3 linked regions of the Astyanax mexicanus genome follow. The protein of the gene in region 2 purifies or fractionates together with the protein of the main gene of each other region. This does not show direct contact. Links are inferred from orthologs where the notes say so. Each region holds a gene or a part of one and is shown on either strand. Other genes may lie near its edges.

Evidence for each region. The genes of interacting proteins can lie anywhere in the genome.
Region 1: the proteins of slx4 (region 2) and topbp1 purify together in Homo sapiens (affinity purification with mass spectrometry; 3 studies listed by BioGRID, with this or other methods). This does not show direct contact. The link is inferred for Astyanax mexicanus from reciprocal best matches to the Homo sapiens genes SLX4 and TOPBP1.
Region 3: the proteins of slx4 (region 2) and rtel1 purify together in Homo sapiens (affinity purification with mass spectrometry; 3 studies listed by BioGRID, with this or other methods). This does not show direct contact. The link is inferred for Astyanax mexicanus from reciprocal best matches to the Homo sapiens genes SLX4 and RTEL1.

What each region holds. Positions count from the first base shown.
Region 1 is NC_064408.1:103,079,244-103,086,738, forward strand, and holds the start of topbp1 (DNA topoisomerase 2-binding protein 1), read left to right. Parts: upstream 1-4,489; 5' UTR 4,490-4,592; exon of another isoform or gene 4,593-5,010; intron 5,011-5,943; 5' UTR 5,944-5,951; coding exon 5,952-6,038; intron 6,039-6,179; coding exon 6,180-6,314; intron 6,315-6,863; coding exon 6,864-7,007; intron 7,008-7,112; coding exon 7,113-7,294; intron 7,295-7,400; coding exon 7,401-7,495. Other genes in the region: prkag2a (5'-AMP-activated protein kinase subunit gamma-2a), read right to left, coding at 870-956. UniProt on the Homo sapiens protein: Scaffold protein that acts as a key protein-protein adapter in DNA replication and DNA repair. Composed of multiple BRCT domains, which specifically recognize and bind phosphorylated proteins, bringing proteins together into functional combinations.
Region 2 is NW_026040046.1:1,762,962-1,770,350, reverse strand, and holds the start of slx4 (structure-specific endonuclease subunit SLX4), read right to left. Parts: upstream 3,015-7,389; 5' UTR 2,630-3,014; coding exon 2,281-2,629; intron 1,832-2,280; coding exon 1,651-1,831; intron 1,120-1,650; coding exon 880-1,119; intron 1-879. UniProt on the Homo sapiens protein: Regulatory subunit that interacts with and increases the activity of different structure-specific endonucleases.
Region 3 is NC_064423.1:17,392,269-17,400,006, forward strand, and holds the start of rtel1 (regulator of telomere elongation helicase 1), read left to right. Parts: upstream 1-4,732; 5' UTR 4,733-4,910; coding exon 4,911-5,012; intron 5,013-6,359; coding exon 6,360-6,558; intron 6,559-7,086; coding exon 7,087-7,180; intron 7,181-7,398; coding exon 7,399-7,480; intron 7,481-7,610; coding exon 7,611-7,671; intron 7,672-7,738. Other genes in the region: txlng (gamma-taxilin), read right to left, coding at 462-553, 654-891, 3,301-3,351. UniProt on the Homo sapiens protein: A probable ATP-dependent DNA helicase implicated in telomere-length regulation, DNA repair and the maintenance of genomic stability. Acts as an anti-recombinase to counteract toxic recombination and limit crossover during meiosis.

The DNA of each region.
Region 1 (7,495 bases), on a different chromosome or scaffold from region 2:
TCCCTCATACATGTCATGTCTTCCGCTTAGGCGTCATGTCATGTCTTTACCCCTTTTTCCCGTTGTCCTCCCATATTAGTATTTTCCCATAAATTTCCTGTATTATATTACAATAAAAAAAAAAAACTCCTGTGCTTCTCCAAACTGAAATGTCACTAATCTCACAAGAACTGCCACCCAGTGTGAAAAGTGTTTTTGGCCAGACAGTGTATTTAATCAACATTTACATTAACAATTTTGAACAAAATGTCTCTGCCGTAAAACCAGCATTATATTCACTTTATACAAAGTTCTATTGCTATTTGGTTTGTAGTCTAATTGCCTTATTTTCTGTTTTTTTTTCTTGTTCAGTTAGACAAATTGTAGACTGTTTTAGGCTTGAACAAGTGCAGTGAAGTCCAGTTCAGTGTCTGAGGTGGATATGTGAAGGGCTGGGTATGGAAAGGATGGAATAAGGCTGAGTGTGGCATGGTAATTTGTAAAAACTTTACCAAGTTTTTCCTGTGCTGTCTCTATTTTTTGTGCATGCTCTGTACAAGTTTAATTTGAAAAAAAAAATGTCTACTACACTTACATTACTAATATTGTTTTGGGTGCTAGTCAATAATTTAGAAGCTAGGTAGGTTCATAGTTTATAGTTACTATGAACTACTAGCCAATCACCTTGCGAGGGGCGGAGCTTGCACGAATACGGGTGGGGAAAGCACGGAGCGCGGTGGAATGTAGGTGTTATATATGCCGCGCGCTTCACCGAGCCCCACCCACATGCTGGAACTGCGCTGCAGAGCTGCGCTGTGATTGGCTGGCGGTGTGGATCAAACGCTCATCACTAAAACAATGTCCGTGAACGAGTGACCGCTCTGACTTACCGGCATGTTTAAGCGCAGGGTCCTCCTCTTTCGGGTACTTTTCTTCCCCCCGTCTTTAGTCTTAGAGTCCATAGCAGTGCTCCCCATGTTAAAATCCTATAGAGAGATATTACCTTCCAGCAGTGAGAGAAATAAACTCAACAAAACTCAGAATTAACGCAGGGTACACCTCACACAGCGACAAAAAACAGCGGTGAAATCTAATTAATCTAATTCTGTCGCTGCAGAACTTTATCGCTGATAATCAATTCATCTCAAAGCTCCTCCAGTGAAAAAAAACAACAAAACAAAGCAGAAAAAAGCATCCTGAACATAAAAACGCAGAACTGCTCTGTCTACACGAGGCTACAGCACCGCGTGCTTTATCTACAGAATGAATAAAACACTACTCCACCGCTGGAGCAGCTTCACACTGTAACCTGCTGCTGCAGCTCCATGCCGGTCAGAAACACTGAGGCGCGCCCCCGTCTCTGGCACAGGAGCGCGCAAAGGGCGGATGGGCTTTAAAGGACGCACGCGCGTCACATGGGGGGGCTATGAGGTGTGTAAGCACGTCGATGAACACGAGTGTGAATCTAGAGACAGTAAACTATAACCAGAGTTCAGGTTCAGGTCTCCCGTTAGTCAGTGTTATCATGCAGCTTAGCCTAGATGCTGCTGTGTATCAAATTAAGTCATGAGCTGAGTATAAATTTAGCTAAAATATTATTGATTGTAAGATGAGTATGAAAACATATATACAGTACCAGTCAAAAGTTTGAACACACCTTTAAATTAAGTGTTTTTTAATTATTCATAACATTGTTTTCTTTGTAGATTAATACTAAAGTTATCCAAACTATGAAGAAAAAACAAATAAAATAATTTAGTAAACAATAAACAGAAAATGTGTTAAACAAACCAGAATATGTTTTATACTTTAAATACTTCAAAGTAGGCACCTCTTGCTTAGATAACAGATTTGCACATCTTTTCAGTCAGATTTCTCAGGTAGTCACATGGAATGGCTTTAAGTTGTGCCTTGTCAAAAGTTAATTACTCAAATTTCTTCCCCTCTTAATATGTTTGAAAGCATTAGTTGTGTTGTGAGGAGTTAGAGTTAGGGAAATGCCCTATTTGAATCAAAAGTCGAAGGTTTTGGGTTAGCATGGAATGTACGAGGCATTCTACAACTGGTAGCTGGTTGAAGAGCTCGAAGTCACACTTTTCTACTTCATCTTTGCTAGATATGTATAAGTCTTTTTTATGACTCTTGGAACACAAACCAAGTATTTTGACGTATTACCTTCCATGGTATGTACACAATTTTGTCAGAATTCAGTGGGGGAGGGTGTAATGGAGTTAAACAGACATAACTAAAAGGAATTATATAAAATATTATGTTCTTTGAAATGATTTCTTACAAAATTATCATATTATACATTATTCTACTGTTCCCTGCACTAACAATGCAACTGCATGTTTTTTTGTTTGTTTTATGTTTTGTTTTCATTTATCTTCAAAGGAGCTTTCATATGATGCTGGAGGTAAGCATAGCAGATAAGCTCTGTGAATAAGTGGTATTTTACAAGGATATATGTTATTTTGAGACAAGTTAATGGAAAAATTAGTTTTCATATCAGTTCTAGTCACCTCTATGTATTTTTAGCGGATATTGGTGAATATTTTGTCCCATATAGAATTATTTCTGCCCAGGTTCAGTTTAAAGCATCAGGCTATGACAGTTTTGGTGCCAAATGCTACATGTTGGAGAATAAGCCTGTTTCTTACACTTAGAGGTTCATGTGCAGTTGCAGAAGCATAATAAGGACCAAATGGATTATTTGTGTGATATGTTGTGGTCGTGTTTATCATAAACTAAGTGTATTTTCTGTCATGTTATAAAAAACGTATGAACATTTTTTAATCACGTATAATAAATGCTAATATTAAGCTATGAGTTTTATTTATTTTTTGCAGAAATTTGTGTGTATCAAAACAGAGCTGTTTTACAGACTGTTCATGTAAATGTTTATTAGTAGCCCCAGAGGAGCTTGCATATAATGCAGGAGAGAACCATATGCAGTTGCAGAAGCATGATAATCACCAAAGGGATTATCTGTGTTTATGTGCAAGCTCAAGAAAGGCCAGAGAAAAAAACAAGACATCCTGCCTCCACCAGTCCTTTCTATCTAGTTTCATCCTGGGTGTACATGTTCTACATAGCCACACTGAGGTCAAAACTGCCCTACTAATTCTACAGGCAAGCAGTCACATAAATGCCTAAATTATCAAACCGTTTTTATTCAACTGCACCCCTCACATCAAAGAAAACTGTGTAAAATGTATAATAAGTCCTTTAAAGTGAAGTTTAATATTCCTCTATATGTGTGTTAATGTGTTCAGAGTAAACGCTGATAAATTAATTGTTACATAGTATTTGAATGAAATTGAAACAGCTATGCTATAAGTAATATTGTTATTGATGCTGCTAATCAGCTTTATACTGTTACTGTATTAAACTGCAGGCTTTTCTAATGTTTTTTGTGTGATTCATGTGATAACCAGGATATGTTCATTTAGCTTAAATGCTGCATGGTTTGGGTATACTGAACATTTCAGAAAACTCTGTACAGCGACACAACATTTACCACCTTCAACACCTGTGTAAATATTGTAACAGCTACAATATTATAAAAAAAGACTCTATGTCTAGTGTCTAGTGGTTTAATGGTAATAACTAACTAACTAACTGTAAAATAGTTGATGAAATTAAATGATTTAATGTTGATTAATACATTACTGTAGAAAATATATGTAAATCTACAGCAGATTTAACATTTTTTAATAAAATAAACCGTTCTGTAGTCTTGCTTTATCGAAAAAGTACATTTTGGTGAATAAGCGCATTCATCTTCTTTATCACTGCTTTCTAAGGTATAGTTGGCGAGCTGTGAATTTGAACATCTGTAGTAAAATTATCCTAAATATAGCGACATATTATTATATTAATTTATATTCATTCAACATTTAAATTTTAGGAGATTTCAATATTATTGTACATCTAATGTACGTTTAGCTAGCTAAACTAGCCAGCTAAAATAGCTAAATATATTAGTGGGTATTAACATTAGTTAAGTTAGCTAGTTGTCAAACTAGTAGTTAAATTGAGGTATGCTGGTAAAAGGCTGTGGAAATTCCGTTTCTGATAGTATTCCGTTTTCCAGGTTTTTATCTGCCTAAACCGGTCCTATTTAACATCAAATGTTTTGTGGATTTCTTTTTTTTTTCAAGTGACATTTTGTGTCATTCTGTTTTTAGAGATTATTTGTTCAAATATTCACTAATAAATTCTAGATTTTAAACAATGGGCCTGACCGTACCATTATACTGAGAATTGGTGTCCATGTTGTTTTTGACCACAAAGTGTATTTTGGCATAATTGGGTATCTATATCTTTTGTAAAGCTGGAATATAAAATCATATGATTAGGGTTGTTTGTGAGTCCCTGTTGATGCATCACGGGGGTCGCAAACTCACAATTATTACATTGAATGTCAGAAGAAACGTTCAAGAAGAGTCTACAAACTTCAGAACATCAGATATAACCTCCAATGTTTGTAATTTACCTCTGAAACAGCGGCTGTGTGTTTCAGCTCCGCGTCGTCCGGGGGCGGTAAATCCAGAGCAGTGGATCTGCTGAAAACAACAACAGCTCCGAGTAGAAGAACTGCCGGACGTTTTGTAAGTTGACTGGATGGCGCGAAGGCTCCTCCGTCAGGCTGTAGAGAGATAACGAAGCGTTTAGAGTTGGGGATTCGTCTCTATTCGCCTGTTTTATCCGTTAATATCTGTGTGCTGTGGGGATGAGTAGTTCAGCGGTAACGGCTCTGCTGACTGGAGGACTACAGGAGCTCGAGCTCTCTCTGAGGAAACATCATTAGATAATGATATTTCAGCAAAACTGAGGCGTTTAGCAGCTGGTATCCGTCTGTTTGCTGGCTGAACCTAAACTACAATGTTCAGTTTCAGATTACTTAGATAATAAGCTCGTTAGCTAGTTAACTAGCTATCTATTTAGCTAGTTAGTGGATCTGACTGCTGATCCAGTGAAAGCTGGTGACCGTTGCTAAGCTAGCTTTAGCTAGTAACCTAATTTAAGGTAAGCTAAGTTTACTTTGCTAACTATGTTAACAGTTTAGACCTGACTGACACTAATGAACCTAAGTGTTAACTTTAATTAACACGTATTTCTTATGACATTTTGGACATAAATGTGAAATGCAAAAAAGCTCTGTAGAATCTGTACTCTTCATGCTAGCCTGCTTACTGCTAGCTAACCTATAAACAATTGATACTAAATAGCTGAATATGTAACTTAGCTAGGTGAGCTAACTAGGTTAACTAGCTAACGCTAACTATCTGTTGTGTATTTAATATATTTTTATAGTAACCTAGCAAGACTTCTTGCCTAATAACAGCTAATTAGTTAGTTTGGTTAGCTAGTTAACTAAGTGAAAAAAGTTTAATACTGCATGATTTATAGCTGCTGGACCTGTTGCGATGTGACAGTGCTCCATAACATAGGCCACAGTTTAAAACCTAGGTGTAGTCACCTAGAATGGCTTGTCAACAATTTCAGACATTCAGTAGAAACAAAACAAAATAAATCTGAAACCTTTGTATATTTTGTAAACATCAGTAACTTACTAAGAAACGAAAACTAATTTTAAAAGGTTTTCAAGACAGAAAACCCCTATTGTCATGGATTTTTATTATTTACAATTTTATTCTGGCATGATATCTTGTTTACAATATTATAAGGTCAAATATTATAAGGCACACCTCTACTCCAAATGTTAATGTTTCTACCTTGATATTTTAGGGATCCTGTAATGAATAGACCAGTATAAATGGTGGAATAAAATATTTTACTTTATGTACGATAAAAGTTAGTTACTTTATTTTGAAGCAACAAGTTATCTTTTGTATGGAATTGAGATACATTAGTCAAGTTATCAGTGAGATCTTGTTGTTCTGTGAGATCTTTTTGAAATGTAGTAATTCAGTATTTTCTTTTTTTTTTAAACAATAGAAGCCAGAATGTCCAAAAGGAGCCAGGATGCTTTTATGGTAAAGTTTGTTGAACACAATGGGCAGAAACGTGAGCTTGGTCAAAAAGCTTATGAGGTACAGTAAATATTCATCATAATGGAAACCAAATGTTTCTGACAAACTATTAGTCCTCCACTAATAACATGGTTATTGAATACCCTATAACTGCTGGCATTATATCATTAAAATATATATTTTTCTTTTTTGTATGTTAAGGCGATAGTGGAATTGCAGTCAGAGAAATATGTGCAGACCATTGGTGAAGAAGCAGCCCTGAAGTTGGATCACAATGACAAATCCTTATATGTTTTCAGCGACTTTACCAGCAGTGCATTTGAGCACTGTCGAAAGGTATGTTCAAAAATATTACCCCCCAAACGATAGCTTATGGATACAAATGATATGGAATGTCTATTAGATGGAGCAGCTAACATATACACTAAAGTTCAAACATTTTTTTTTTTTACTAAGCAATAAAGCTCTGTTGCAGCTCTATGAATGCAGTACTAAGATTTAATTCTTTGTTATTAACTCTTATCTTTTTCCTCACGTTTGAAAGATCCTTTATGTAACTATGATGTATTTTGGAGGGACACAATTTAGTTGTGTTTAAAATACAATACAATATACTGCAAATGTACAAAACGATATTGTGATATTTTTCATCACTGCATACAAATAAAAACAATGTTACATTTGTAATCTGTTATGTATATTTATGAATAAAATTAGTTACCTAGATTTATGTTCTGAATTTGTCTTTCATTCAAAATTATTTTGTCTTCCACAAGTAGTGCTATTTCTACATGGTCACTAGCATCATATATAACGCTACTGGCATGACACTGCTGGTAGTCTGTCTTTATACCTGTTCTGTGTTTTTCCCTGTGTGCACTACAGTTGGGATGCAGGATAGTCAGTCCTCTGGTAGTGCTTTTTTGTCTGCAGCAGCAGAGGTGTGTGCCCAAGGCAGAGCAACCTGTCTACAACATGGCCATGGCTGATGTGACAGTGACCTGTACCAGCCTGGACAAAGAAGTACGGGTAAGCAATGAACCAAATTCACAAGCTGGGTCAAATATGTCTTTAACATAAGTAGTAATTAGAATCTAACGAAATGTTTACACCACATTTGTGTCTGTCCTGTAGACAGACGTCATGGACTTGGTTCAGCTCATGGGAGGAAGGGTTTACAGAGACCTTAATGTATCAGTCACTCACCTGGTGGCAGGTGAAGTGGGCAGTAAGAAATATCTTGTGGCAGCCAACCTGGGGAAACCTGTCTTACTGCCCACCTGGGTGAAGGCATGCTGGGAAAAGTCTCAAGACAGGTAGGACTCTATTCGTCTTCATGCTTTTATGACCTGTATAAACTCAAAAACTCACCTCAAAAGGCGGTAAACATTTTGGTTCTCTTGTTTTTCTTCTTTTCCTCAGTATGTTTCGGTATTCAGACCTGCGTGTAGAGGACTACCTTTGTCCTGTCTTTAAAGGCTGCACAGTATGTGTAACTGGTCTGTCCACAGTGGAGC
Region 2 (7,389 bases):
GATCACCAAAGCCATGGAGTTTAGAGGCTGGGACTTTAAGAAGTCCAGCAGTAGCAGACCTAAGGGATCGAGATGGTCTGTAAGGAAGAAGGAGGTTTGACAGATAAGGAGGTGCAAGATTATTTAATGCCTTATAGGTAAGTAAGAGAATCTTGAATTGAATCCTGTATTTAACAGGGAGCCAGTGAAGATTTTGGAGAACAGGTGTAATGTGTTCATGGGTGCGAGTGTGAGTGAGTAAACGGGCAGCTGCGTTTTGTACCATCTGGAGTTTATGGATAGAGGAAGAACTAATGCCAGCAAGCAAGGAGTTACAGTAATCTAGTCTGCTGGAAATGAAAGCATGAAGGAGTTTTTCAGCAGTGGACTGAGTAACGGATCGTGGAATTTTAGCTATTCTGCGCAGATGAAAGAATGCAGTTTTCACCACAGAGTTGATGTGAGCTGTAAAAGAGAGAGTGGAATCCACTTAGTGGCAAAGCCTTTGTTTGCAAGCACAGCGGTGAGTCGTTTGTTGTAGAAATCTCTCAGCGTCCACTTAGATGTGTGGTGTGAAATACTGAAAGACACTCGCCGAGCCGTCACAAAGTGATCGCTGACGAGTCGCAGACACCTGGCAAATATTTGGCATGCTACATATGTGGTCCAGTTGCCGACTGGGAGTCAAGAGCAGAAGGAGAAAACCACCAGAACCACTTACAGAGCCTGATCAGTTTCTGTTTCCCCTGTTAAATTAAAACTCTACATATACATACATATATATACACACACACACACACACACACATATATATACACACATACATACATATACACAGGTATGTGTGTGTGTGTGATTGAGGTCATATACCATTTTAAACAAAAATATGAAGCTACTTACTGCTCAGCCGCACTATCGCTCAAACTTTCAGACGCCTGTCTCTGCAAGGCCTGCAGAAGCTCAGCTGGAGACACGCCCATGCTGGCGGAGCAGCGCTTCAAGTGAGTGGAACGACTCTTTTCAGACTTAAAGCCACGCCCACAAATTGGGCACTCTGGAACTCGAGGCTGGAGTGCAGATGCAGGAGCAGCAGGAGCTTCAGAGATTTTTTCAGAGGAGCTCTCACTCTCATCCAAACACCTGAATCAAGGAGATGAAGGAGAGCATAAGAGTATGCTGTGCCACACAGGGATAACAAAGGAAAATACCAATTTGTTAGCAAAGTATTACAATATTGAGTTTTGTAATATTGTGCCAATTAGGGGTGTGCTGTATTATACTCAATAATATCGCCAACATATTTGAATATTGTGAATGATATTATACTCTGAAATATCACCACTTTTTGCTATTTTTAAGAAAAGGGAATTCACACTGTACGAATTTGTCTACTAGAGACAGATTATATCTGTCCAGTATAATTTATTTTACTTTACTCCTGGATTTATGGAGATCTTTGGAGTGCATTATTATTATAATTGACTCCTGTTACAAATATGATCTGGCTGTGTAGTGTACTATACTGGAGTACACTGTACACTGGAGGAATATGACTTTATCTAAGATATGTATGCCATCCTGGACGAGTGAGGATCACCAGTTGTAGCCAGTTTAAAGAATCTGCCACAGTAGTATTGTTTCAGTGTAGTTAGTGCTAGCCTGCTGCAGTACCTGTTGATATGCTGAGTGCGTAGCTGAGGGCTCATAGCTGACAGGTCTTTGTAGCAGAGCTGGCACAAGAACAAGCCTTTACCCTCTGTGTCCACCACAGCCTGGGTCTCAGCCTCATGATCCAGCTGCTGCTGGAGCCTCCGAGCCAGTGCTTCATCACTTTCAGTTTCTTCTTTGAGCTCTGACAAACACAAATATTTAAATGTATGGCATTTAGTAGATGCTCTTCCACCAGCAATACAAGTTGCAACAAGATTTAATAGTTACGAAATAGTTGGCATCACCATATTGTTTCCATATAGTTGTTCAGCTTTGCAGAGCTATTTTTTACATAAAAATGTTAACTGTTACACCTGCATGACCAAGGCTGCTGATCAGTATGACCAACATGCATGCCAGCATATCCAATCGTGACCACATTTAACATACACAACGCTAGTCAACAACTGGTTAACCAGCAAGTTCGCCAGTACAGTGTAGCTATTTCCACCTGGATCACCAGCTTTTCAAGTACCTTTACCATCAAAGACCAGTGTAGACCAGCAGAAGCTGCTTATGAGCAGGGAACCATCATACAGTAGAAAGTCACATACTGTAGAACATAACAGATGATTGTGAGTGTATTACTACCTCGTCTGGGTGGTGATACTGTCTCCCCCCGATGTTCCTCTGCCTCCACATGGAGAAGCCGGGGAGGACTCTCTCTCCTAAAGCGCTCCATCCTCCGGAGCACCTTCTCCTTCACGCTGAGAAAGGAGGCTCCATCTGCCGGACAGACAGGCTGCGACCTGCCCGCTGCCTGGCTCTGGAGCTGCCCGTTCTTCTGCCTCTTCCTCCTGGGGGGAGCTCTGCTCTGAGAGGGACCTGCAGCTTCATCTGGAGCTGCGACTGGTTTCTTCTCATCCCCAGAATCTTTCCGTTTCACCCTCTTGAGGAGCCGAGAGCAGAGATCAGAGAACTCCTGGTCCGAGTCGTCCATGGCCGCCAGGTAGAGAACAACATCTCCCAGAGGTTCGGATCAGATCAGCATGGTGACCAGTAGCTTCTTCAGTTTACTGTCCTAACCAACCAACCAAGTAACGTTTAACTAACGTTACCCAGTGTCTCTATCAGCTATCAGCTCCTTACCACAACAACTCCAGCTAACAACTACTTTAGCTATATTTCTTCACAGAAATCACATTAAACCCCACTAACATCTCGTGTGGGTGGGACTACACTAACCGCACTGAAAGCGGTGGCTGTTTTTAGTCTAAAAGCCGTGTTTTAATCTCTCTAAATCAGTCTAGTTAGCCTGCTAGCCTCTAGCTAACCTACGTTCAAAATTCTCCACCACAACCGCCTCTCCCACGTACAGTGACGTATTCGCGCTCACGCCGGGTTGCGCAGGGGCTTGTGGGATTTGTAGTTAGTTCATCTACAAACACACGCTGCTGTTTATGGCAGGAAATAATCTCAAACAAAGAGAAATACCCATAAAAGAATCTTTTAGGGGTTTGTTGAACCACCAGTATACGCACGATCCTGAGTGATAAATGCATTTCAGCACAATCAGATTTTATATATGTGCTTAATATATGTGTTTAATCATTTTCATTCTGAAAAATGTACTAATTTCTTCAACACAATATTTATGTTCTTATGGAACCATGGTACATGGAACAACGAATATTATAGCAGACATACCAGATTGCAAATCTGTGGGGCGGGGGTCTGATACAGTTTTGTTTTGTGTGTGTGTAAGTGTATGAGGAGTGATGGGGTGTCATTTCAGTCCCTGTGTGTGTGTGAAGAGTGTTGGGTGGGTTTACTACAGTTCTTGTATGTGTGTGTGAATAGTGGTGGAGATTCAGTTCAGTTCTGTGTGAGTGTGTTGGGTGTGTGGTTGGGGGTGGGTTCAGCTCTGTCTCTGTGTGCTGAGGAGTCTGACTGCCTGGTGGATGAAGCGGTTGCAGAGTCTGGTAGTGGAGGCTCGGATGCTCCTGTCTCTTCTGCCAGATCTTGTCAGCTGTGCTCACTATCCGCTGTAGGGTCTTGAGGTCTGAGGTGTTGCAGTTCCCAAACCAGACGGTAATGCAGGTGCTTAAGATGCTTTCTACACTCCCTCTGGTAATGATGGGAGGTGGAAGATGTGCTTTTCTCAGTCTTTGCTGGAAGTGGAGGTCCTGCTGGGTTTTCTTGGTTATGGTGCTGATGTTGAGGGACCAGGTGAGGTTATTGTTTGTATTATTTTAAATGTTTAGACCTAAAGACACTCACAGGAGCGTACAAGATAGTAGCTACAGGGGTATGAAAAAGTTTGGGCACCCCTGATAATTTGTCAGATCGGTAATTTCAGTTAAATATATCATATATCAGATGAACATAGTGATATTTGAGAAGTGAAATTAAGTTTATAAGATTTATAGAAAGTGTGCAATAATTCTTTAAACAAAATAAGGCAAGTGCATAAATTTGTGAATTGACAATATTAGAAACAGGTGGATTTGTCCCCCCCAAAATGATATTGTTTCGCTCAGCTCAGCTGTACTATTAATGAGGAGACAGACCGATCACGGAGCCGGTTCAGGTATTAAGTCCCGCCTCCCAGTAGAAACAGCCAATCAGCTTGCTGACGGGGGAAGCCCCTCCCTGGCTGTGAGATTTAGCAGCGGGATCGGGCTGCAGCAGCTTCAGCTGATTTTAAAACAGATCTGGATATACGGAGATTTTTCTAACAGAAAGGTAACGGAGCTAATCATGTCAACTGTAAACCCACAGTGATTAATAAACTGCAGCTGTGTGAGTCAGTTATCTTAAATTTGGAATTAGTTAGAGTGGGAGTCAAGGTTAAAGAAAAAAAAATATATATATATGTAATGTTCAACTTGCCCTGTACCTGATCAGCTAATCATTATTACATTTTCCAACTGTGTTTATTAATTTAGGATTACAGGATATACTGTGAGCTATAATGAAAGAAATGTAATTTAACTAACTAGTAATCTAGAAGCTGCATGTAGTAGATAGTCAGAATTTAATAAAGTACTTTATGTTTGTAGTTTAAAGCAGTTTCTTAACCCCGATCACTGCCCCAAAACTGTGTTTTCCACCTGGTCCAGCTGATCAGCTAATAAACAGTCATTTACTGAGTTTACCTGTTAAAATCTTTAAGCCCACTATGGAGCCTGTATTAATCATGTATATTAGCAGTGTTTTAGACACATCATACCACCACTTACTTTATTAAGTTCCTTTAAAGCAGAGGAAGCTCTGATATGCAGAACAGTGTTAATATTCAGTAGAATATGTAAGAACAGGGTTGAGAAACACTGCTGTAACGTGACTTCTGTTCATTTGTAGTTCACAGTAAGACCACATGTCCTGACGTTTATAAAAATCTCTATGAAACGTAAAGTTACATTCTTTTACATAAAATGTCACCATCTTAAGAAGAGCTCTCAGTAGATAAATAAAAGCACAGGAGAAAATTTAAATATACAACAGAATTGACATGCCAATACATAATAATAATAATAATAATAATAATAATAATAATAATAATAAACAAATCTGTTATATTATTTTAAATATTAGGTGATAACTGAACATTTTTGTCATATGTATATAATTCAGTCATTGCATGCATAATTTTTCTAACAACAGTAACTGTAACGTTACTGTTACACTGAGTAACATGTTAAGGTTGTAAAATCACCTTATAATAATAATTTACTTTTAATTAAAAGTATTTCCACAAATGTTGTTCTAGGAAACTATAGGGTGGGCTTGGGTTCATATTGGCAAATGTGTCCCCCCCCAATATCAAGCCCGCTCCTACACCCTTGGCATAGTTGTCTTGTTAAAGTATCCAGCCCCAGCGCAACTTCAACTTTCTCACTGATTAAACACAGTTCTCAGGAATCTGCTGATATTGACTGAAATCCATGAGACTCTAAACTTTAACAAGATTCTCAGTAGCTGCACTGATCACACAGCCCCACAGCACGATGAACCACCACCACGTTTTACTGTGAGGAGCAGTAGAGTGTTGTTCTTGGAATGTTGTGTTCTTTTCCAACACTTTTAGTGTCATCAGTCCACAGCTCTATCTTCCAAAATGATCAGCAATCAATCGTCATGTGTGACTATAGGTGTGTCCCAATTCAGGGGCTGTATCCTTCTAAGGACGCGGTCTACGAAAGTGTGTCCTTCGTAGGATGGGTAGGCTGCAGCGGCTCTACTGAAATGGGACAGTCTAAGCTATGGAGTTTTTCCTGTTTCCTGTTTGAGATTCTACAGGTCCTTCTCAAAAAATTAGCTTATTGTGATAAAGTTCATTATTTTCTGTAATGTACTGATAAACATTAGACTTTCATATATTTTAGATTCATTACACACAACTGAAGTAGTTCAAGCCTTTTATTGTTTTAATATTGATGATTTTGGCAAAAAAGTAAAGAAAAAATTAGCCTATTTCATCCGACCAATAAAAGAAAAGTGTTTTTAAAACAAAAAAAGTCAACCTTCAAATAGATATGTTCAGTTATGCAATCAGCCTGTGGCACAGCTGAGGTGTTCTGGAGGCCCAGGATGCTTCTATAGCGGCGTTAAGCTCATCCAGAGTGTCGAGTCTCACGTCTCTCAACTTTCTCTTCACAATATCCCACAGATTCTCTATGGGCTTCAGGTCAGGAGTGTTAGCAGGCCAATTGAGCACAGTAATACCATTTACCAGTGGTTTTGGCCCTGTGAGCAGGTGCCAGGTCCTGCTGAAAAATTAATTCTTGATCTCAGCAGATGGAAGCATGAAGTGCTCCAAAATCTCCTGATAGCTGCATTGACCCTGCCCTTGATAAAACACAGTGGACCAACACCAGCAGCTGACATGGCACCCCACACCATCACTGACTGTGGGTACTTGACACTGGGCTTCAGGCATTTTGGCATTTCCTTCTCCCCAGTCTTCCTCCAGACTCTGGCACCTTAATTACTCTGGTACTTTGGAGCACTGAGCAACAGCTGCTTCTCTGTAGTCCAGGCGCTTCTGCCGCTGTTTCTGGTTCAAAAGTGTCTTGATCTGGGGAATGCAGCACCTGTAGCCCATTTCCTGCACACGCCTGTGCACGGTGGCTCTGGATGTTTCTACTCCAGACTCAGTCCACTGCTTCCGCAGGTCCCCAAGGTCTGGAATCGACTCTTCTCCACAATCTTCCTCAGGGTCCGCTCACCTCTTCTCGTTGTGCAGCGTTTTTTGCCACACTTTTCCTTCCCACAGACTTCCCACTGAGTTGCCTTTATACAGCACTCTGGGAACAGACTATTCGTTCAGAAATCTCTTTCTGTGTCTTACCCTTTTGCTTGAGGGCGTCAGTGATGGCCTTCTGGACAGCAGTCAGGTCGGCAGTTTTTAGTAATGAACCAGGCTGGGAGTTTTTAAAAGCCTCAGGAATCTTTTGCAGGTGTTTAGGGTTAATTCGTTGATTCAGATGATTAGGTTAATAGCTCGTTTAGATAACCTTTTTATGATATGCTCATTTTGTGAGATAGGAATTTGGGGTTTTCATGAGCTGTATGCCGAAATCATCAGTATTAAAACAATAAAAGACCTGAAATATTTCAGTTGGTGTGCAGTTGGTGAATCTAAAATATATGAAAGTTTAATTTTTATCATTTTCATTTCCGCTAGAGGGAGCCCTCCCCCTCCTCTCTCCCTGTTGTAGCTGTGATGTATCAGCGCGAGTTTTACATATTGTACAT
Region 3 (7,738 bases), on a different chromosome or scaffold from region 2:
ATTTTGCACCCAGTCATGCATTTCCTTAAATTTAAAAGGAGGCCACAGGTCAGTCGGTGCTGATGAGAAAACGACTGTCTAGACTTTTTTTTTTTTAAATAGGCATGGGGAAGGGTTTGGTTGCTGAATGCGTCATTGACAAAGCTGCACTGTGGCTCAAGTGCATCTCAACTGGATTTGTTGCTTTTTTAAAATGCTTCTTGGGTGTGTTTACACTTGCACTTGTTTGTCTCATGGCCTCATCCAGATAAAATTCTGATACTAGAGATAGATGAAGTGATCAGTTTAAACAGACTATGTGAACCCCACGTGGCACATGCCTGCCATTAATGTACAGTTGAACTCCCACCTTCTTAACTTGTCTATAAGGAACTTAGACATATTCTATAGTATCCAGTGTTGCGTATATTAAAACTCTACTAACAAACAGCAGCAGTATTTTAAAAGCCATAGACTCTTACCAGGTCAGCATACTTCTTGCAAAGAGCAGCAAGTTTCTCCTCTGGAGTTGCTAAGGTGTGAAGGGCTTGCATCAGTAACAGGACTTCTTTCCCTATCGCAACAAAATTGCAGTATTACATGTTTGATGTAAACTATTAATAAGAAAAACCAATCAGATTTTAGAAAAATCCAAGTTCTCAATCACCACCTACCAAACATGTTTTGCTCCTTGCTCTGATCACTGCTCTGGCCCAGTTCTCCTTCGAGGGGGTCAATTTGGAAATCTTCTCTCCCAGGTGTCTCCCCTCTTACTTCTTCAGTGCAGTTAACCAAATCTTTAAACTCCTCAAGATTATCTTGTGACGGAGGAGAGCTGCTGCCCTCCACAATTCCACGTGTCGCTGCCTCCATCCCACATACACCAGTGCTTTCCATGGTGTTCACCCCGTACTGATAGAGAAAGGGAAGAGAAACATTACTTTTGAGATGTTTTTGAAATATCAACTAGATCAAGGTATCAACTGTATTTTGTTGTTATTAACCCATGTCTGGTAATTTAATGGTCCATTCTAACCATTTTAAAAGTTGAATCTATGCTTAACAAAAGTTTTCCAAACATGGCCTTTACAAAGTTAAGAATAAAATAAAGTTCACTGCAGCAATACCATTAAAGGACACACGTATGGTTGCCTAATGAACAACTTATATGTGAAGTCACTATTTTTTGTTTAATTCATTTTCTCTTAGTGTACAAATAAATGACAGTGTTTGTAAACCTGCATTTTTCTCTTGGTTTGCTTTGACTGAAAGAAGCTCGCAGAGTAAAGTTCAGTAGACTTTTCATATTTTACACTTTTCCTTAATTGAAATACAAGGAGGTTATGTTTGTACAGTGTTTAATACAAAAGCTCCTGTAAAGGGGGCTGCTTACTATTTGTTTTAAAAACTGTAAAAAAAAAAAAAAAAAAAACAATAGTTGCTCATCACTTTAAATAGTGCTGTCAGTTTACAAATAAAACAACTTAAGTTTTGTAAGAACTAAAAATCTAAAATCTTATTCAAGATATAGCTCATATATTTGAAAAATATTGATATTATTAACTGATATAATAATAATTTATATATTATTATTTTGTATTTTATTTTATTTATTTATTTTTACAATATCGCCCAGCCATACCCCTGTATAGCAGTGTTGTTAAAACCCAATGTTATGACTGCATAAAGTAGTAAACTTTACTTGTACTCATATTTCTGTTTTTTAATCGAATGACAACATTCCTAACATTTTATTTAAACAATCACAATATAATCGCCATACATACGGTATGGCAATAAGCTGTGATATACCAAATACATTCATACAAAATCAAGTACATATGGCCAAGGGCTTGCCAATACACAGCCCCAATAAATTAATACAAAGTTTTGCTTTTTAAAATGTAATGACAGATAAGTGAAATTTCATGTAAATCAATGGGAACATATGAATAAATTATATACGTTCTACTAGTAACATGACTAGTCAGAATGGCTTAATAGACTTGAGATTGATCAGAGATGATTCGTAGTAGCTAAAAGTAATCAGATCTGAAATAGGAGTTTCTACTAGTAAAAAACTACATTACAGATATATGAGTTTAAACAGCTTGGTGTATAAAAAACAGTACAGTGAGCAGAGTGGGTCATGGGCAGAGGCACAGGGTTAGATTAGCCCACCACGTGCTGCACTGCAACAGCTCCAACAGCCACCACATGGGACAAATGACAAATAAGCCTGGGTAAATAGGAACTTAATGAGAAAGTGTAAAAAAAAAACATCTAAAATAATTAGTTAATCAACACGAAGCCGTCTAACATGTTTAAAGTGAAAGTAACTAGTTAGCTAGCTAGCATGCCAGTGACTGAGCAGTGCTGTCTGACAGATTAAAACCGAACCACCAAATACAGAAATAGAAAGCTGTTTAGAAATAGTTGGTTAGATGGGCTATACATATTTAAATTTCAGTAACTTACTAGCTACACGTCATGTAAACATACCAAAACCGTCTGGCTTAGCTAAATAGTTAGGTTACTTAGTTTAGCTTGTTTAAGGCGAACTTAATTTTGGAGCAAGTGCACGAGTATCTAGCGTCAGCTAACCAATAACCTGTTGGCTATAAAAATCAGTTATCGAGGTTCGTGTAACTTAGCTGAAATACTAAAAATGTGCTGTTAAATATACCTAAAAGCGCATTTAAAAAGAAACGCCAAACATCCACACCATCCAGACACTGCAGACTCAGCTATTTTACCTTTGTTTCTACGTCAAAAAACCTTCCCGAGGCCAGAGTGCGACTGAGATACAGGTTAGAGGAGCCGAGCTCACAAAGTTTGCGGGAAACAAATCTGAATCCACTGGCTGCAGAGCTAGTTTGCTAGCTAGCTTAGCTTCGAAGCTAATGTTTCACAAATGCGTAGATACATAACCTACATGGTTACAGTAGTAACCGTGATTAACTCTGAACATAGCCCACATGTCGCAGTCACCACGAATCAAACAGGGTTCACTTTAATACCGAAAACAACAGAGAGTCTCTCTCTCTGTTTCTCTGTGTGTATCTATCTGTAGCTCAGTTGTCCTGTATGATCCGCTAGCGGGCTAGATAGCCTGAGCTAAGCTAACCCAGGTTAGCTCGGCTACTTCCTCTGTAAATACTAATGCCTGTGCTGTGAGGAGTGAGGAGGACCCACACGCAGCGTTTTCACCTCTGTATTCCATTACATTCACAGATAAAAGCAACACATACAGAAACACTAACCATTAAAAACACGAGTAAACAAAACCAGCACAGCCCTGCTGTATTAAGAGACACATACCTGAATGTTTTCAGTGTTTAAATCGACCCTGGCGCCTGAGTAAGTCGCCATGTTGTGACGAAACACTGAACAGGAAAATAAAGCCACTGGACAGAGCAGCACCTCTTTTTACCTAAATGCAGTTTTTAACTTAGTATTATCTACCTGTAACTTCAGGGGATTTTACTAAAAAGTATATTCTTAGGAGTTATTTATGATGTTTAGGCTGTTGCCCAATCTTTCACCAATTGATAACCGTATAGTTATAATCCTTTTTTTCAGTTTTAAAGCAATAACAGGTCTAAAAGAATTTTATTCCAAAATTATATTGTTAAAGTTATTCAGTGGAAAAAAATCCACATTTTTGTCCACTTTCCACCCCTGCAGTTTTTTTTATCTCTTCCATCTTTTTTTCCACTGTCTTATATTTTTACTATTTAGAAATTTCATCCCACTTTTCTCCCATAGACTCCCATTAATTTCCCCCCAAGCCTTGTTCTTTTCTTTTGCCTGTCAGCTACTGAACTAGATCACATAGTACCTCTAGTCCATAGCAACACCTAGCAATCCTCAAACAACTTCTATTATTTATTGTATTTTTGTTTCAACACTTAAACACAGTTAAAGGTTTTTCATCCCACATCTCCTATAGACTCCTATAAATATATTATTTTTGCCCAAGCCCTTTCCCTGTTTTCCTTTTGCCCGAGAGCCACCAAAGTACATACAGCTCTGGAAAAAACACTTCAGTTTTTCTGATTTTGGTATCTATATGTTTGAGTAAAATGAACATTGTTGTATTACTCTATAAACTACGGACAACATTTCTAATTAAATAAAAGCATTGTCATTTAGAGCATTTATTTGCAGAAAATGAGAAATGGCTGAAATAACAAAAAAAGATGCAGAGCTTTCAGACAAACAAGTTCAAATTCATAAAGTTTTAAGAGTTCAGAAATCAATATTTAGTGGAATAACTCTGATTTTCAATCACAGCTTTCATGCATCTTGGCATGTTCTCCTCCACCAGTCTTACACACTGCTTTTGAATAACTTTATGTCACTCCTGGTGCAAACATTCAGGCAGTTCAGCTTGATTTGATGGCTGATCATCTAAGTTCTTCTTGATTATATTACAGAATTTTTTAATTTGGTAAAATCAAAGAAACGTATTCTTTTTAAATGGTCTCTTATTTTTTCCCAGAACTGTATATACTTCATCTAGTCCACAACCATACTAACTCACCCCTCTAACTTAGATTATTCCTTCATTAGACGTCTATTAATTTTTAGCCACACCGTAACAACGTAGTTATGTTATTTATTTGGTGTAATATTTTTGTATTTACTGAGTTACAGAATAATGAAAATAAAATAGTGATCAGTGTTTGTGCATTAGAGCAGTGTGACCTGTAGGGGGCAGGAGGAACGCATTTCGGCTTTTCGGCAGCTCGTAAAAGAAGACGGTGAAGAGCTGTGGCGCGCTGCGGGGATGTGTTGTTATGTAGTTGGGTAAAGTGAAGCTGCTGTTTATTTAATTATTAGAGGAGCTGATTAGTTGGGTCTGTCTATGCGCTTTATAGCCCAGTCCTCTGCTGTCTGTGTCGTGGTGTCCGCGGCGAGGCTGCAGGATGCCTGTTCTCTCTTTAAGAGGAGTTAATGTGGATTTCCCTTTCACTCCGTATCCATGTCAGACGGATTACATGAACAAAGTCATTGAATGCCTGCAAAGCGTGAGTGCCCTCTCTGCTCTTTTTAACTTGATATCTGTACTCGGGATCTGACATTGCATAACGTTAGCTGAATTGCGAAGTCTACGTCCCTCCCATTCCTGTCCCAGTAGCAGCTTTGTCCCATCTAAATCTTCATCACACATGTTAGTTATATCCTGTAGCATATACAAATATACTATTGCATATGTGGGAGTGGACCTAAAACCTTTAAATACTTTTCCCTGCTGAAAAACTAAGGCTGTCTCCCACTTAGATTGTTACTCCAGTGTTTCTTTTTCTCAAATCTAAAGTCATTCAATCTATGAAAAAAAGATAAACAAAAAAAGTGTTAAACAAACCAGAACAGGATTTATATTGTGGATTCTTTAAACTAGGAAACATTTGTTCAGATGACAGGTTTGCACATCTTTCCATTTTCTCAGTCAGCTTTAAGAGGTAGAGTCACATAGAATGGCTTTCAGTCAACAGCTGTGCTGAACTTGTCTAGAGTGCATTTCTTGAATTTTCTGCTTCTTAATGTGTTTGAAAGCATCAGTTGTGTTATGAAGAGGTAGAGTTGGTATAGAGTTAATAGCTCTATTTGAGTAATGTTGTACAATCAATATTATGGCAAGAACTACTCAACTAAGTAAAGAAATTCAATCAAAAAAAAATGAAAGAAATTAATATCTTCAAGTTTAGTCGCATAGACCATCAAAAACATTATGATGGAACTGGCTCTCATCAGGACCACCCCTGGTAAGGACGAGCAAGAGTTGCACAGGATAAGTTAATCAAACATACCAGCCCCAGAATCGCTAGTTAACAGAATTCCAGATGAGTCTTTTGATTTGTTTAACACTTTTTTTAAGTTACTACACGATTCCTTGCATGCTCCTTCACGGGAGGGTAAGAAGTTGTGTGCAAACATTTGAGAGGTACTGTAATGGGACTAAATATAAACCAACTTGTTTTGTCTATGGGTTCCATGCTGGCCACACACATGAATGTCAGTGATGTGACCAGGGGGGGTGTTAAACATGGGCTGGATCTTGGTTGTACCTTGCCATTGGGGGCCTATATGTGGACAGTATATTCAGGTAGTCAGCTGACCTTATTCTTTCAGCACATACTGTTGCTGAACCTAGACCTGACCAACTGCAGCATCAACCCCAGGTCATTTACTTAGTTAAATCCAGATGGCGACTTTTTTTTATTGTCCAGGGAGTGAATTTGTGCATAACAGAACATTGTGTTAGAAGAAAAAGAGGCTCTTTTGGCATTCAAACATGTAATCAACTTTCATGACTGAGTACATCCTGTACGAAACTGTGTCCACATTCTAAGTGTTCTGTTTTCCTGTATTAGAAGGTAAATGGAGTCCTTGAAAGTCCAACAGGTACAGGGAAAACCCTGTGTCTGCTTTGTGCGACTCTTGGCTGGAGGGAATACTTCAAGGACTCCATATCTGCTCGCAAGATTTCAGAGAAGATGGGAGGTGCCGAGCTTTTTCCTGACAGGCCCATGTCTTCATGGGGAACAGCAGCAACTGACGGAGACGTCCCAGGTTTGTAAAGGGAGGGCAAGATTTTTTTAATTATTTTTTTTGAGTCCAAGTTTGCTAACCATTCCTTAGTGCATTGATTTGGTGTCTAAAATAAAAAATAAAAATAGATAAAAGGATGGTTGGTATAGAATCGAGAATAACACTGCTGCCCTCCCTATGGTGGAATGTGATTCAGTTAGCTGCTTGGGGATGAAGTGGTGCTGGACTGCACATTTTACTGTTTTACACCAGCATACCTGATCTAATAATCAGGGACCAGTTTCATTCCAATTACATTAATTAACATGTCCTAATTAAGCCAGGATTACTCTTAAGTGTGCAGGATGGGGGATAATTCAGAATCAGAGGTACAAACTCTATAAATACAGGCAAGATGTCTAACGCTACATTTGTGAAAATGTTTAAGTGTCTGGCAAATGCCATCAATATATCTAAATATCCTGAGGATTATTAATATTAAATAAGAATGCACGTTGGTTAATAATATCGGAATCCTTAAAACATATTTTGTGTGTGTTTTCTGAGCAGCATATTACACAGATATACCCAAAATCATCTATGCATCCAGAACACATTCTCAGTTAACGCAAGTCGTCAGTGAGCTGAAGAACACAGCTTACAGGTCAGTGCCTTGAAGGTTGTATGGATCTTGTTCTCAACAGCTTTTAAACAAAAGCAATTTTGTTGGAGTATTTTTTTCCTTTTAAAGAATCAAACAGCAATACATTTCCAACCATTTTAATCTGGACCTGCTATGCATTTTTGTTAAAAAGGACATAATCTATAATCATCTAATCTAATCATACTCTTTTTAAAACATTTTGTTAATCTTATTGATAGGCCAAAGGTTTGTGTTCTGGGGTCCAGAGAACAACTTTGCATCAACCAAGAAATAATGAAGCAGGAAAGCAACCACATCAAGGTATATGTATAACAACGTATCATAAGTAACTTGGAATTCAATAAAAAAATAAAATTAGATCACTGCTTTGGTACTGTAGTGAAATATTGTCTTAATATAACTTCCATTGCATTTGATAATGCTATTTCAGGTCCACATGTGCCGAGCCAAAGTTTCGACCCGCTCATGTCTCTTCTATAACAATGTTGATGGTATGAACTGTTTGTTATTGTGGGTCAATAGGTAGAAACTTTTTTTTTCAAACCGTATAATCTTACC